Linked DNA regions of Anolis sagrei. The protein of the gene in region 1 purifies or fractionates together with the protein of each later gene. This does not show direct contact. Links are inferred from orthologs where the notes say so. Each region holds a gene or a part of one and is shown on either strand. Other genes may lie near its edges.

Region 1 (7,601 bases):
GGAATTTAACCAAACTTGGCACACAAAACTCCCACAACCAACAGACAGGGTTTGGTGGGCATTGACCTTGAGTTTTGGAGTTGTAGTTCACCTTCATCCAGAGAGCACTGTGGACTCAAACAATGAAGTATCTGGACCAAACTTGGCATGAATACTCAGTATGCCCCAATGTGAACACTGGTGTGGTTTGGGAAAAATAGACCTTGACATTTGGGAGTTGTAGTTGGTGGGATGTATAGTTCACCTACAATCAAAGAGCATTCTGAACTCCACCAATTATGGCATTGAACCAAACGTGGCATACAGGACTCCCATGACACTAGAAAACACTAGAAGGGTTTGGTGGGCATTGACCTTGAATTTGGGAGTTGTAGCTTACCTACATCCAGAGATCACTGTGGACTCAAACAATGATGGATCTGGACCAAACTTGGCACGGATATTCTATATGCCCAAATATGAACGCAGATGGAGTTTGGGGGAAATAGACTTTGACATTTGGGATTTGTAGTTATTGGGATGTATAGTTCACCTACAATCAAAGAGCATTCTGAATCCCACAAACGACAGAATTGGGGAAAATTTCCCACATAGAACCCTCATGACCAACAGACAATACTTAAGGCCATCCAGTCTAACTCTCTTCATCAGGGCAAGAAAATGTAATCAGTGCCCTCCTGACAAAGAGCCATCCAGCCATAGATATAGATAGATAGATATGATTCACACACACACACAGATGTAGTATCCTAGATTTGAAAGGGACCCCTAAAGAAGGACAATTATATGTTGCATGTTCCAGGGTGGGCAAACCAGACAATCTCCACATCAACACTGGCAAAGAAACAGCAAGAAATACTGTTTACCCACAAGCATTACTTTATTTTCCAGATCACTAGACTGGGCCACAGCAACATGTGGCATGGGATGGCTAATAATAATAATAATAATAATAATATGCAAATTTAATATTTGATGGCATATACATGACTACCCTATTTAAAGTCTATGGCTGGATGTACACTGCCCTATAATCCAGTTGGAGAGAAAAAGTGGGATATAAATAAACATAATAATAATAATAATAATAATAATATGCAAATTTAATTTTTGATGACATATACAGGACTATCTTATTCAAAATACTATTTACCCACAAGCATTACTTTATTTTCCAGATGACTAGACTGGGCCACAGCAACGCATGGCAGGGGGTGGCTAATAATAATAATAATATGCAAATTTAATTTTTGATGGCATATATATATGACTACCCTATTTAAAGTCTATGGCTGGATGTACACTGCCCTATAATCCAGTTGGAGAGAAAAAGTGGGATATAAATAAACATCATAATAATAATAATAATAATAATAATAATATGCAAATTTAATTTTTGATGGCATATATATGACTGCCCTATTTAAAGTCTATGGCTGGATGTACACTGCCCTGTAATCCAGTTGGAGAGAAAAAAGTGGGATATAAATAAACATAATAATAATAAGAAGAAAAAGAAGAAGAAGAAGTAAATTTAATATTTGATGGCATATACATGACTATCTTATTCAAAATACTGTTTACCCACAAGCATTACTTTATTTTCCAGATCACTCGACTGGGCCACAGCAACGCGTGGCAAAGGATGGCTAATAATAATAATAATAATAATAATATGCAAATTTAATTTTTGATGGCATATATATGACTGCCCTATTTAAAGTCTATGGCTGGATGTACACTGCCCTGTAATCCAGTTGGAGAGAAAAAGTGGGATATAAATAAACATAATAAACATAATAATAATAATAATAATAATAATAATTTTAAAAGTGGGATATAACTAAACATAATAATAATAATAATAATAATAATATGCAAATTAAATTTTTGATGGCCTATATATGACTGCCCTATTTAAAGTCTATGGCTGGATGTACACTGCCCTATAATCCAGTTGGAGAGAAAAAAGTGGGATATAAATAAACATAATAATAAGAAGAAGAAAAAGAAGAAGAAGAAGTAAATTTAATTTTTGATGGCATATACATGACTATCTTATTCAAAATACTGTTTACCCACAAGGATTACTTTATTTTCCAGATCACTCGACTGGGCCACAGCAACGCGTGGCATGGGGTGGCTAATTATAATAATAATAATATGCAAATTTAACTTTTGATGGCATATATATGACTGCCCTATTTAAAGTCTATGGCTGGATGTACACTGCCCTATAATCCAGTTGGAGAGAAAAAGTGGAATATAAATAAACACATTAATAATAATAATAATAATAATAATTTTAAAAGTGGGATATAACTAAACATAATAATAATAATAATATGCAAATTAAATTTTTGATGGCCTATATATGACTGCCCTATTTAAAGTCTATGGCTGGTTGTACACTGCCCTATAATCCAGTTGGAGAGAAAAAGCGGGATATAAATAAACATAATAATAATAATAATATGCAAAATTAATTATTGATGGCATATACATGACTACCCTATTTAATGTCTATGGCTGGATGTACACTGCCCTATAATCCAGTTGGAGAGAAAAAGTGGGATATAAATAAACATAATAATAATAATCATAATAATTTAAAAAGTGGGATATAACTAAACATAATAATAATAACAATATGCACATTTAATTTTTGATGGCATATATGACTGCCCTATTTAAAGTCTATGGCTGGATGTACACTGCCCTATAATCCAGTTTCAGAATGTGGATCAAGTGCATTGGATTGGCAATGTAGAAACCAGTTCAATGCAGTTAATCCACCTTCTAAAACTGGATGATAAGGCCGTGCAGATCCAGCCTAGGATTCTACTGCTGCCCCTTTTTGTAGTTCCAGCGTCTATGGAATGAAAGCAAAGGGAAAGCAGGTGTCTGCAACTCACCATTCTTGCAGCTGCCTTGCCCTGTCTTGGGTCTCATGTTGGAAAAGAAAAAAGAGAAAGAAATAGGAAGAGTTTGTTTGCAGAATTTTGGAATAATCACTCCGAGCGAAGCGCAAAAGGTCAACCAGAAGACGGCTGGTCCAAAATAGTCGTGGAGGAGAGGAAAGTTCAACTGCTCTGACATGAGCTCTGTGTCCACAGCTGTTATACTCGCAGTAATTCATTCTGATATTCAAATGAGCCGAGGAGGCAGGCCTTGGGGCAGAGATCTTGCCAGAGAGGCCTCCCGGGTCTCCAGCAGAGCAAGGCTGCCAAGCCCAGAACTGGATGGAGAGCAAGAGGAGAGTGTGCCGGCGGTCAGGCGCAGCCAAAAGGACTCTTGGCTAAAGGACACCAAGGTTGTCAGGGTCAAAACTTGTGCTTTTAGGACAACCAGGTAACCTCGGTGGCGCAGTGGGTTAAAGCGCTGAGCTGCTGAGCTTGTTGACTGAAAGGTCGCAGGTTTGAATCCTGGGAGCGGCATGAGCTTCTGCTGTCAGCCTCAGCTTCTGCCAACCTAGCAGTTTAAAAACATGCAAATGGGAGTAGATCCATAGGTGTCGCTCCGGCGGGAAGGCAGGGGCAGCTCAACCCATTACGCAAAGTAAGCATTTGCAGTATAGTTGATTTGCCCAGGAGCGCTCTTGAGGCGCTCTTGGGGGAAAATAGACCTTGACATATGCGAGTTGTAGTTACTGGGATGTATAGTTCACCTACAATCCAAGAGCATTCTGAACTCCACCAATGATGAAATTGAAACAAATATGGCACACAGAACTCCCACGACAAACAGAAAATATATATCAGTGATTGGTGGGGGGGGGGGGGGGAGAGGGGGTAACTGTTTGTTTACCGTTGAAAATTACATAGGGCCGCCTCTGCGGGAAGGTAACGGCGCCCCATGTAGTCATGCCGGCCTCATGACCTTGGAGGTGTCTACGGACAATGCCGGCTCTTTGGCTTAGAAATGGAGATGAGCGCCATGCCCCAGAGTCGGACACGACTGGACTTCATGTCAGGGGAAAACCTTTACCTTTACCTTTACCTTTACCTAGGTAACAAAAAAGCTGAAATTACCATTGAAATCACAGGAGTGCGATATAGTAGAGTCTCGCTTATCCAACATAGACAGGCCGACAGAACGTTGGATAAGCGAAAAGCTTGGATAATAAGGAGGGATCCAGGAAAAGCCTATTAAATGCCAAATTATGTTATGATTTTGCAAATTAAGCTCCAAAGCATCATGTTTTACAACAAATTGACAGAAAAAGCAGTTCTGTACAGTACTACATGGTAACGTTAGGTAGTAATTGTTGTATTTACAAATTTGGCACCAAAATATTGCAATATATTGAAACAGCCAATCCCTCTCCAATGCCAGGAATACAGCTTAATGGTGTAACATTAGAAAATGTTGACCTTTTCCACTCCCTTGGCAGCCACCTCTCCACCAAAGTCAACGTTAACACTGAAATACAACACCACCTGAACTCTGCGAGTGCAGCATTTTTCCGAATGAAGCAGAGAGTGTTTGAGGACCGGGACATCCATAGGGAGACCAAGGTGCTTGCTTATAAAGCTGTTGTCCTCCCAACTCTGCCATACGCCTGCAAGACGTTGATTATCTGTAGACTGTCTACAGAAATACAACACTGCCTGAGCTCTGGAAGTGCAGCATTCTTCCGAATGAAGCAGAGAATGTTTGGGGACTGGGACATCCGTAGAGATACCAAGGTGCTTGTTTACAAAGCTATTGTCCTCCCAACCCCGCTATATGCCTGCGAAACGTGGACAGTCTACAGACATCAACATTGACACTGAAATGCAACACTGCCTGAGCTCTGTGAGTGCAGCTTTTTTCCGAATGAAGCAGTGAGTGTTTGAGGACTGGGACATCCGTAGGGAGACCAAAGTGCTTGTTTGTAAAGCTATTGTCCTCCCAACGCTGCCATATGCCTGCAAAACGTGTACTATCTACAGATGCCACATGCAACTCCAGGAATGATTCCATCAGCGTTGGCTCCTGCAAATCTCTTGGGAAGACAAGAGGACAAATGTCAGCGTGCTGGAAGAAGCAAAGACCACCAACATCGAAGCAATGGTCCTCCGCTGGACCGGCCACGTCTGGATGCCCGACCACCGTTTCCCAAAGCAGTTGCTCTACTCCGAACTCAAGAACGGGAAACGGAATGTTGGTTGGCAGGAAAAGAGATTTAAAGATGGGCTCAAAGCCAACCTTAAAAACTCTGGCATAGACACTGAAAACTGGGAAGCCCCGGCCCTTGAGCGCTCCAGCTGGAGGTCAGCTGTGACCAGCAGTGCTGCAGAATTTGAAGAGACATGAATGGAGGGCGAAAGAGAGAAACGTGCCAAGAGGAAGGCACGTCAATCCAACCCCAACTGAGAGTGCCTTCCACCTGGAAACCGATGTCCTCACTGCGGGAGAACATGTAAATCAAGAATAGGGCTCCGCAGTCACCTACGGACCCACTGCCAGTACACCGATCTTGGAAGACTACTCTACTCAATTCCAGGAAGCAGGGTGAGCTCCTGTCTGTCAGCTCCAACTTCCCATGCAGGGACATGAGAGAAGCCTCCCACAGGATGGTAATACATCCAGGCGTCCCCTGGGCAACTTCTCTGCAGATGGCCAATTCTCTCACTAAATCAATTATCACTGAATTACAGAACAACGTAAAACTTATACATAGGTATCTGTTGCTTTATATGGCCAATTCTCTCACACCAGAAGCAACTTGCAGTTTCTTAATTCATTTCTGGCACAATAAAAAGCAGAAAAGATTATTAAAAAGATAACCAAAACAACTTGACTCATTTGCTAGGATTTGTGGGGAGAAAAAAAGGGTGGCAGATTATTTTGCAAAGTACCATACCCAGACCCCTCCAGCAAGCTGGCTAGGTAAAATTATGGGATTGTAGTTGACAGTGGTGGAACCACCAGGCACTGATCCAAAACTGATTTAAAATTGCAGCTGTTTGGTTTGCAAAAGACCTCGGTGTGTCTGGAAAGTGGGCTGGGTGCTCAGTAACCCCAAGGAATGGAAAAACCACCACTGAGCCAGAGGAATAAATGCTGCTGAAGAGAAGCAGATGGATGAAAAGTTGCAAGCCTACCCAAGTCGGGTTGTGTTGGGTTGGCATCATTTTATCCAACCGTTCTGCATAAACGCTGGCTATGTTGGGACGCAGATGACTTTTTGAAGGATCAGGATACGGAGGCATCCTTAACTGAGGTGTTACAGTCTGTTTTGTCTCTTCCCTGAAGAGTCAAAGGTCTCAGAAATGTTCCTAATTGCAGAAGGAGGACAAGAGAACACTCTGTGCCCAGACTTTCCAAATAAATATTGCACACCGGTGGTTGCAAACAGACTTTGGGTGGTCTTGATAAAAAAGGGAAGATTAGCCTGCAGAAGAGAAGGCCGAGAGGAGACATGATGAGGACCATGTGTAAATATGTGAGGGGAAGTCATAGGGAGGGGGGAGCAGATCAAGGGTCTGGAGAACAAACCCTATGAGGAGCGGCTGAAAGAGCAGGGAAGTCATGTTTCCCCTCTATTCCGCCTTGGAATACCTGGAGCACACCTGGAATATCACTGTGTCCAATTCTGGGTACCACAATTGAAGGGAGATGTTGGCAAGCTGGAATTTGTGCAGAGGAGGGCGACTCAAAGGATAATGGGTCTGGAGAACCAGCCCTATGAGGAGTGGCTTAAAGATCTGGGCCTGTTTATCCTGCAGAAGAGAAGGCTGAGAGGAGACATAATGTGAGCCATGTATAATTATGTTAGAGGAAGTCATAGGGAGGAGGGAGCAGATCAAGGGTCTGGAGAACAAACCCTATGAGGAGTGGCTGAAAGAGCAGGGAAGTCATGTTCCCCCTCTATTCCGCCTTGGTCAGACCACACCTGGAATATTACTGTGTCCAATTCTGGGCACCACAGTTGAAGGGAGATGTTGGCAAACTGGAATGTGTCCAGAGGAGGGTGACTCAAAGAATTGAGGGTCTGGAGAACAAGCCCTATGAGGAGTGGCTTAAAGATCTGGGCATGTTTCGCCTGCAGAAGAGAAGGCCAAGAGGAGACATGATGAGGGCCATGTATAAGTATGTGAGAGGAAGTCATAGGGAGGAGGGAGCAGATCAAGGGTCTATAGAACAAGCCCGATGAAGAGCGGGGGAGTCATGTTCCATTCCCCCTCTATTCTGCCTTGGTCAGACCACAGCTGGAATATCACTGTGTCCAGTTCTGGGCACCACAATTGAAGGGAGAAGTTGACAAGCTGGAATGTGTCCAGAGGGGGGCGACCCAAAGGATAATGGGTCTGGAGAACAAGCCCTATGAGGGGCGGCTGAAAGAGCAGGGAAGTCATGCTCCCCATGCTCTATTCCGCCTTGGTCAGACCACACCTGGAATATCACTGTGTCCAATTTTGGGCACCGCAATTGAAGGGAGATGTTGGAAAACTGGAATGTGTCCAGAGGAGGGCGACTCAAAGGATCGAGGGTCTGGAGAACAAGCCCTGTGAGGAGTGGCTTAAAGCTCTGGGCATGTTTAGCCTGCAGAAGAGAAGGCTGAGAGGAGACATGATGAGCAGGGCCGTAGCCAGAAAAAAAGTTCAGGGAAGTTT
Region 2 (7,868 bases), on another chromosome or scaffold:
ACTGAAATACTAATAAGCTTGTATTTGTTAAAATTGTTCTTCATTTTAATTATTGTATTATTTTGAAGTGCTTTTGCACTACAAATAAGATATGTGCAGTGTGCATAGGAATTCATTCATGTTTTTTTTCAAATTATAATCCGGCCCTCCAACAGTTTAAGGGACTGTGACCTGGCCCTCTGTTTAAAAAGTTTGAGGAGCCCTGCCCTATACTATGGACAGAATAGTTTTGCCGTTCCTTTTATTAATTTTTTCTTGTCTCAGGAGCAACTTGAGAAACTGCAAGTTGCTTCTGGTGTGAGAGAATTGGTTGTCTGCAAGGACATTGCCCAGGGGACACCTGGATGTTTTGATTACATGATATACTGTAAGATTTCTTCAGTCCATATCACAAAAACGTCAAAATAACTGCTTAGATAAAGATTTTCTACCTCAACAAGACCTAAAGTTTATGCCCACAGCGATCATACATTATCTAAATCACATGTTGGTATTTTTTTTTTCTTCTGTGCTGAATTTCTAAAAAATAATATGTTGTAGTTTAAGGTTTGTGCAAAAACTACTTCCTGATTTGATTAAGTAAGGTGCATCTACACTGTAGAATGAATGCAGTTGGACACCATTCTAAATGCCCATGGCTCAATGTTATGGAATCATGGCAGTCGTAGTTCGTTGAGGCAACAGAACTCTTTGGCAGAGGAAGATGAAGAACTTGTCAAACTACAACTCCCATGATTCCATAACAGATTCATGGCAGTTAAAGTGGTGTCAAACTGTATTAATTCTACAGTATTTAAAGACGGGCTTAAAGTCAACCTTAAAAACTGTGGGATAGACACTGAGAACTGGAAAGCTCTGGCCCTTGAACATTCTAACTGGAGGTCAGCTGTGACCAGCAGTGCTGCAGAATTTGATGAGGCATGAATGGAGGGCGAAAGGGAGAAACATGCCAAGAGAAGGCGCGTCAAGTCAACCTCAACCGGGACCGCCTTCCACCTGGTCCTATATGGAATAGTTTTAACAACTGCAGCATTTAATTCTATTGCAATGGTTATATTTTTAGGTTTTTAAAGTGTATATAATTTTCAAAGGTTGGGGACTGCTTTGCACCTCTGTTCCTGTGAAAAAAGTGGTATATAAATAAATATAATTTATATAAGTCCTCCTTCCTCCTCCTCTTCACAGGAGAGAAGCAGAAGTTGGTTATTGCTTCTCCTGACAGTAAAGTTGCCACATTTTCAAACCAGCAATAAGGGATACTCCCTGTATTTATGAGACGCAAAGATGGTAATCAGGTAGTACTAGCTGCCAACAGGTTTGAGTTCTACCTAAATACCAAATGAAAATATTGATTTCAATTGAACTAACCATGTAACCCAGTTCAGTGAGGATTTTATACAGCTGTGTGGAACGGGCCTATATGGCATTGTAGGTTTATATATAATCCAGTTCAAAACTCATAATGTGGGTTATCTGATTTGATAATCTGATTTACATGGCAGTCTAGAAGGGGCTTTAGACTGGATCTACACTGCCCTACATCCCACGATCTGATCCCTATTATCTTCTTATCCCAGATTATATGGCAAAGTAGACTCATATAATCCAGTTCAAAGCAGATAATCTGAAATGGGAATATGAGATATAAAGAAGTTAGATCCAGTCTAAGGTCCCTTCTTCTACACTACCATTTGATCCAGATTATCAAAGTAGATAACCCACATTATCTGCTTTGAACTGGATTATATGAGTCCACACTGCCATATAATCCAGCTCAAAGCAAATAATCTGGATTTTATACAGCTGTGTTGAAGGGGCCTAACGCTGGAGCTACACTGCCCTTCATCCTAGGATCTGATCCCTATTATCTTCTTATTCCAGATTATGTAGCAGTATAGACTCATATAATCCAGTTCAAAACAGATCATTTGGGATCAGAACCTGGGATATAGGGCAGTATAGATCCAGTCTAAAGCCCTTTTTAAACTGCCATATAATCCAGATTATCAAAGCAGATGACCCACATTATCTGCTTTGAGCTGGACACTGTTATATAATCCAGTTTAAAGCAGATAATCTGGATTTTACACAGATGTGTGGAAGGGGCCTAAGGCTGGATCTACACTGCCCTACATCCCAAGATCTGGTCGCAGGTTATTTTTTATTCCAGATTATCTGGCAATGTAGACTCATATAATCCAGTTCAAACCTGGGATCGAAACCTGGGATATAATGCAGTGTAGATCCAATCTAAGGCCCGTTCTACACCTCTATATAATCCAGATTATTTTATTTGAACTGGATTATCTGAAACAGCATTGCCATATAATCCAGCTCAAGGAAAATAATCTGGATTTTATACAGCTGTGTAGAAGGGCCCTAAGGCTGTATCCACACTGCCCTACATCCCAGGATCTGATCCCAGATTATTTTCTATACTAGATTATCTGGCAGTTTGGACTCCTATAATCCAATTCAAAGCAGATGATCTGGGATAAGAACCTGGGACATAGTGCTGTGTAGATCCAGTCTAAGACCCTTTCTACACTGTCATTTAATCCAGATTATCTGATTTGAACTGGATTTTCTGAGCCTGCACTGTCATATGATCCAATTCAAAGCAGATAATCTGGGATCAGAACCTGGCATATAGGGCAGTGTAGATCCAATCTAAGGCCCTTTCTACACTGTCATATAATCTAGGTTATCTGCTTTGAACTGGATTATCTGAGCCTTCACTGCCCTATAATCAAGTCCAAAGCAAATAATCTGGATTTCATATGGCAGTGTAGAAGGGGGCCTAACCCTGAAATGCCTGATATCCCTTATAATAAGGGACCCATATTGCGCCTGGCAGTCCTATAATAAGTAGGGCTCTCCAACTTTCAAACTGTCTAACGCTCAGCCGGGGGCGCCTCTTGCCAGAAGGGAGCCTTGTGGGCAAAGGAGAAACACACACAGAGAGAGGGCCTTGCTGCTTCTGTCTGCTGCGGCGCCCAGAGAGAGGGGGAGGGGGAGCAGGCTCACCGGCGAGGGCGCCAAGGAGTCCGGCTCAGGAGCCTGGCGGCGGCAGAAGCACCACAGCCAGGCATGGCGGCCAAGGAGAGGGCACAGCAGCGCCTACCTGCCGGGAAGGAGAGGAGGCGAAGCCGCTCCGCGAGGGCTGCTCGCTCGGCCGGGCCCGAAGGGGAGGAGCCTCGGGAGGGCAAAGGCGGGCTCCCAGCAGGGATGGCTCGCCCTCAATGGCTGATGCTGCTGCTGCTGCTGCGCTCGCCTTTCAGGGTTGCAGTTTCCAGGAAGGGATGGGAGGAGAGGGCGGACTGGGACTCTCATTAGCACCGCACTTTGACTCTGTATTATTAATCTGTACGGAGGCCCCGGTGGCGCAGTGGGTTAAACCACTGAGCCGCTAAACTTGTTAACGGAAAGGTTGCAGGTTCGAATCCGTGGACGGGGTGAGCTCCCATTGTTAGCCTCAGCTTCTGCCAACCTAGCAGTTCGAAAACATGTAAATGTGAGTAGATCAATAGGTACCACTTCTGCGGGAAGGTAACGGCGCTTCATGCAGTCATGCTGGCCACATGATCTTGGAGGCGTCTACAGACAACTCTGGCTCATGCTGGCCGCATGAACGTGGAGGTGTCTACAGACAATGCCAGCACATGCTGGCTTCATGAACTTGGAGGCGTCTACAGATAACGCCGGCTCATGCTGGAAACGTGACCTTGGAGGTGTCTACAGACAATGCTGGCTGATGCTGGCCACATGACCTTGGAGGCGTCTACAGACAACGCCGGCTCATGCTGGCCGCATGACCTTGGAGGCGTCTACAGACAACGCTGGCTCATGCTGGCCGCATGAACGTGGAGGTGTCTACAGACAATGCCAGCACATGCTGGCTTCATGAACTTGGAGGCGTCTACAGATAACGCCGGCTCATGCTGGAAACGTGACCTTGGAGGCAGGCCCGTAGCCAGGATTTCGTTTCGGGTGGAGGGGGGCTAATTTTTTTCGGGGGGGCTGAGTCTGAGTGAAAGAGGGTCTAGCTTAGCAAACCTTTTGTATCATTACCCCAATACCCCCATGCATATGGGATATATTGAGTATGGTGATCAGATCATGATATGAATAAACAACAGTTTAAATAATGCACCAGTAAGGCCTTTTCGCGAACCACCATGAGAATTTGGGGGGGGGGGGGCTGAAGCCCCTCTTGCAGAAACAGCCATTGCAAATGTTTACAAAACTCTTCCAGTATTTTAAAAAAGTATATAGGTAAAAGTTTTCTCCTGACATTAAGTCCAGTCATGTCCGACTCTGGTGGTTGGTGCTCATCTCCATTTCTAAGCCAAAAAGCTGGCATTGTCCGTAGATACCTCCAAGGCCATGTGGCTGGCATGACCTCATGGAGCGCCGTTAGCTTCCCGCAGAAGCGGTACCTATTGATCTCACATTTGCATGTTTTCGAATTGCTAGGTTGGCAGAAGGTGGGGCTAACAGCGGGAGCTCACCCCACTCCCCAGATTCAAACTGGCAACCTTTACGATCGGCAAGTTCAATAGCTCAAAGGTTTAACCCACTGCGCCACCGGGGGCTCCAAAAAAGTATATATATAAATATTAAATGATTAAAATATAAATAGACTATAAAATTTTCAAAAAATATAAATCTATAATATTTAGAATAAATATATAATATGTATAATCCAACTCTTGGTGATCTCTTGGACAACCCAGCTTCTGTGCAACAACAGATAGGACAAGTGATGGCCAGGTGCTCACACAGAGATCTCTGGCCATTGAGGAGGAGCAGCAAGAGCACCAAGGTCAAGGTGGACTCCCAGAGGTGATGTGTGGTACACTTTTTGTTGTTTCTTCATTCAGTCACTTCCAACTCTTCGTGACCTCATAGACCAGCCCACGCCAGAGCTCCCTGTTGGCCGTGGCCACCCCCAGCTCCTTCAAGGTCAAGCCAGTGACTTCAAGGTTGCAATAATAATAATAATAATAATAATAATAATAATATATTTATATTCCACCCTTCTCACCCCAAAGGGGACTCAGGGCAGATCACAGTACACATACAAGGCAAACATTCAATGCCGCTTTGTATAGACAGTATATAGACAGACAGAACAGAAAGAAGTTGTGTTGTTTTGATGCCATGGAAGGTTGGGCTTGAGTCCAGCCACAGAGGGTGTTGTTGCGGCATCCTCTATGACAAAGAGCCATTTGGACTTCCTCCTCCTTCCTTTTGGGTGGCCAACATTACCTGATCTTTCTTTATGGAGTTGTAAAACACCTCCCCCACTTTTAGCGGTACCTAATTTCTCTAATTACAGCTAAAGCTGTTTTTGAACTTCTTAGGTAATCAGTGAGCAGGGCTGACAGTCGGCTGCTCACGCCAACCCAGGGCTTTGAACTTGCAACCTTTCGGTTGATAGATCTTACAGTTGCTGGTGATTTTCCAGCTGTGCTAAACCTCTGGCCCATCCAACCATCCATCTTGCCCTTGGTCAACCGCTCTTCCTTTTTCCTTCCATTTTCCATTGTCTTCTCCAAACTTTCCTGTCTTCTTGTGATGTGCCCAAAGTACTTCATCTTTGCCTCTAATATTCTTCCCTCCATTGAGCAGTCGGGCTTTATTTCCAGGAGTATGGACTGGTTTCTTCTCGCGGTCCAAGGCACTCCAAAGAGTACATAAGAAGTGCTAATCCCTATCAACAAATACTTGTTTCTTTTCCTGCCTGGCAGATTTGTGCATTCAAAAGAGCATTCAAATGCATTCATATTTGTGAAATCTGCATAATATATTCAAGTGAAAGTTTTAGCAGTATTGAAATAGAACTTGATACTCATTCTTGGCATTTTTGGCACGATGCTTAGCTGTGTTATCAGTAGTGATAACATAGTCCAAATATACAATTACTGAGATGAGAGAAGTGCAGAAAATCAGGGATGAGCTACTCCCACAGCTTCCATCACTAATTTACTGTCTCCAAAAGTGGGCCTACTGCCTACAAACCCATCAGCTTGGTGAAAGCTAAAACAGCAAATTGCTAATTTCTATTCCCTTCTGCACCGAATATAATTTTGGTATCCCTTATCCGAAATAGTTGGGACCAGAAGTGTTCACATACAGTATAGGTGCCTGTATAAAAAATGACATAGGTTGACAGTAGAAGTGGTGGTAATCTCCAGCCACCATGAGCCCATTCTTCGTACGCTTTCCACTCCCAGAGAAAGAAGAGGAGCAGGAGGAGTGGAGATGACGTACAGTAAGTTGAGTTTGCAGCCAAACTTTGCACAAATAGCCACAGTGGCTCCTGCTGGTGTTCATCCACAGCCATTCCCAAGCTGACGTAGATGTAGAGTGGGATGCGGCAGTAGCAACGGCTGGAGATTTTCTCCAGCCTTGACCCAGAGGGGACCCCATGCAAATAAAACCCAGCCCAATTTTCTTCTCCCCATTCCTTCCACACATCTCAATCAGTGTGTTTCCCACTCCAGTCTTCTGTGGATAAAAACCTAGTAATCGTAGCCAACCTTGGCTGTGTCAGGGGTGCAAGATACCCACTTCCAAAGGGGCCGCGAGTGGCGCCTTTGTTCTGCTGAACTCCTGACTTGAAGGTCGGTAGTTCAAATTTGTGAGGTGGGGTGAGCTCCTGCTGTGTTAGTCCTACCTCCTGTCAACCTAGCAATTCGAAAACATGCAAATGTGAGTAGATCAATGGATACTGCCTCAGTGGGAAAAGGCAAAAAGATGCCCCATGTAGTCATTCCAAGCACACAACCAGGAGGTGTCTATGGATAACGCAGGCTCCTTGGGTTGGGAATGGAAATGAGCACCTCCCCCAGAGCAGGAGATGAGTACTGCCTCCAAGAGCCAAAAATGAAAGGAGAAGCTTTTGCCTTTGCCTATGTATTTGAATGTCGTTGTATTGTACTTCACTGTAACAAGGCATTTAATGTTTGCTTGTGTTTATTTACATACTGTAATCTGTCGGAATATAAATAAAGTGTTAATATTATTTTACTTACACAAAAACACAGTATGTCACATATCACAAAATCACAAGTTGAACACTTCCCAAGCATCTAGGACTGTGTGGTGTATTTGTGAATGATGCATGCAGATCCAAGTAAGGTGGCCTTTGGTAGTTATTATTATTATTATTATTATTATTATTATTATTCTACTTTTGAGATGGAAGGTACAGCACACATGTTCACTTGTTCAGATGGGGAGAGATGAAAAGATCTATAGCAGGAGATGTGGATTCCTGATATTTCACGATTTCTTGTGTCTTTCTCCAGCCTTGTCCATCTCTAGCTTTGCAAATACAGCAGAGATACGTATATCTTGTCGTTTCAAAATTGTTGGCTTTGGAGCATTTTGAATTATGGATAAGGAATACTCAGCCTTTAGCCCATTGCAAATAGTTTTATCCTATTCCATTTTTAGAAACTGAAAAAGCAGTTGGCGTGTTAAATCAATAATGTGCAATAAACCTGTGCATCTTAAAATGTTTTTCTGCTTGCAACCTCTTTCCACCTGATAATTTTTTTACATGACCTCAGGTATATAGGTATATAAAATAGGTATTTAAATCAAACATTTACTGATAATGACTCAGCATTAGGAAAGCTTGCTCAAAAGACAGATTTTCCTTTTAGTGGACAGTAGCTGAAACATTTCTGCAGAGGCCACTGTAAACATTACATGTTGTTCCTAATAGATTTTTTTATAAAGGGTCCAGTTCAGAAACCTTTCACTATTGCCTGATATTGAAGTTTGTTGAGTCTTACTGTGTTCAGTGGAAATTTCCCCCTACACCTTATGTTTTACAACTTTAATATTAAATTAAT

What was found.
Region 2: the proteins of MAPK6 (region 1) and enoyl-CoA delta isomerase 2-like purify together in Homo sapiens (affinity purification with mass spectrometry; 3 studies listed by BioGRID and IntAct, with this or other methods). This does not show direct contact. The link is inferred for Anolis sagrei from reciprocal best matches to the Homo sapiens genes MAPK6 and ECI2.

What each region holds. Positions count from the first base shown.
Region 1 is NC_090029.1:20,628,653-20,636,253, forward strand, and holds the start of MAPK6 (mitogen-activated protein kinase 6), read right to left. Parts: upstream 3,078-7,601; 5' UTR 2,916-3,077; intron 1-2,915. UniProt on the Homo sapiens protein: Atypical MAPK protein. Phosphorylates microtubule-associated protein 2 (MAP2) and MAPKAPK5.
Region 2 is NC_090024.1:86,836,999-86,844,866, forward strand, and holds the start of enoyl-CoA delta isomerase 2-like, read right to left. Parts: upstream 3,119-7,868; 5' UTR 3,093-3,118; coding exon 3,028-3,092; intron 1-3,027. UniProt on the Homo sapiens protein: Able to isomerize both 3-cis and 3-trans double bonds into the 2-trans form in a range of enoyl-CoA species. Has a preference for 3-trans substrates.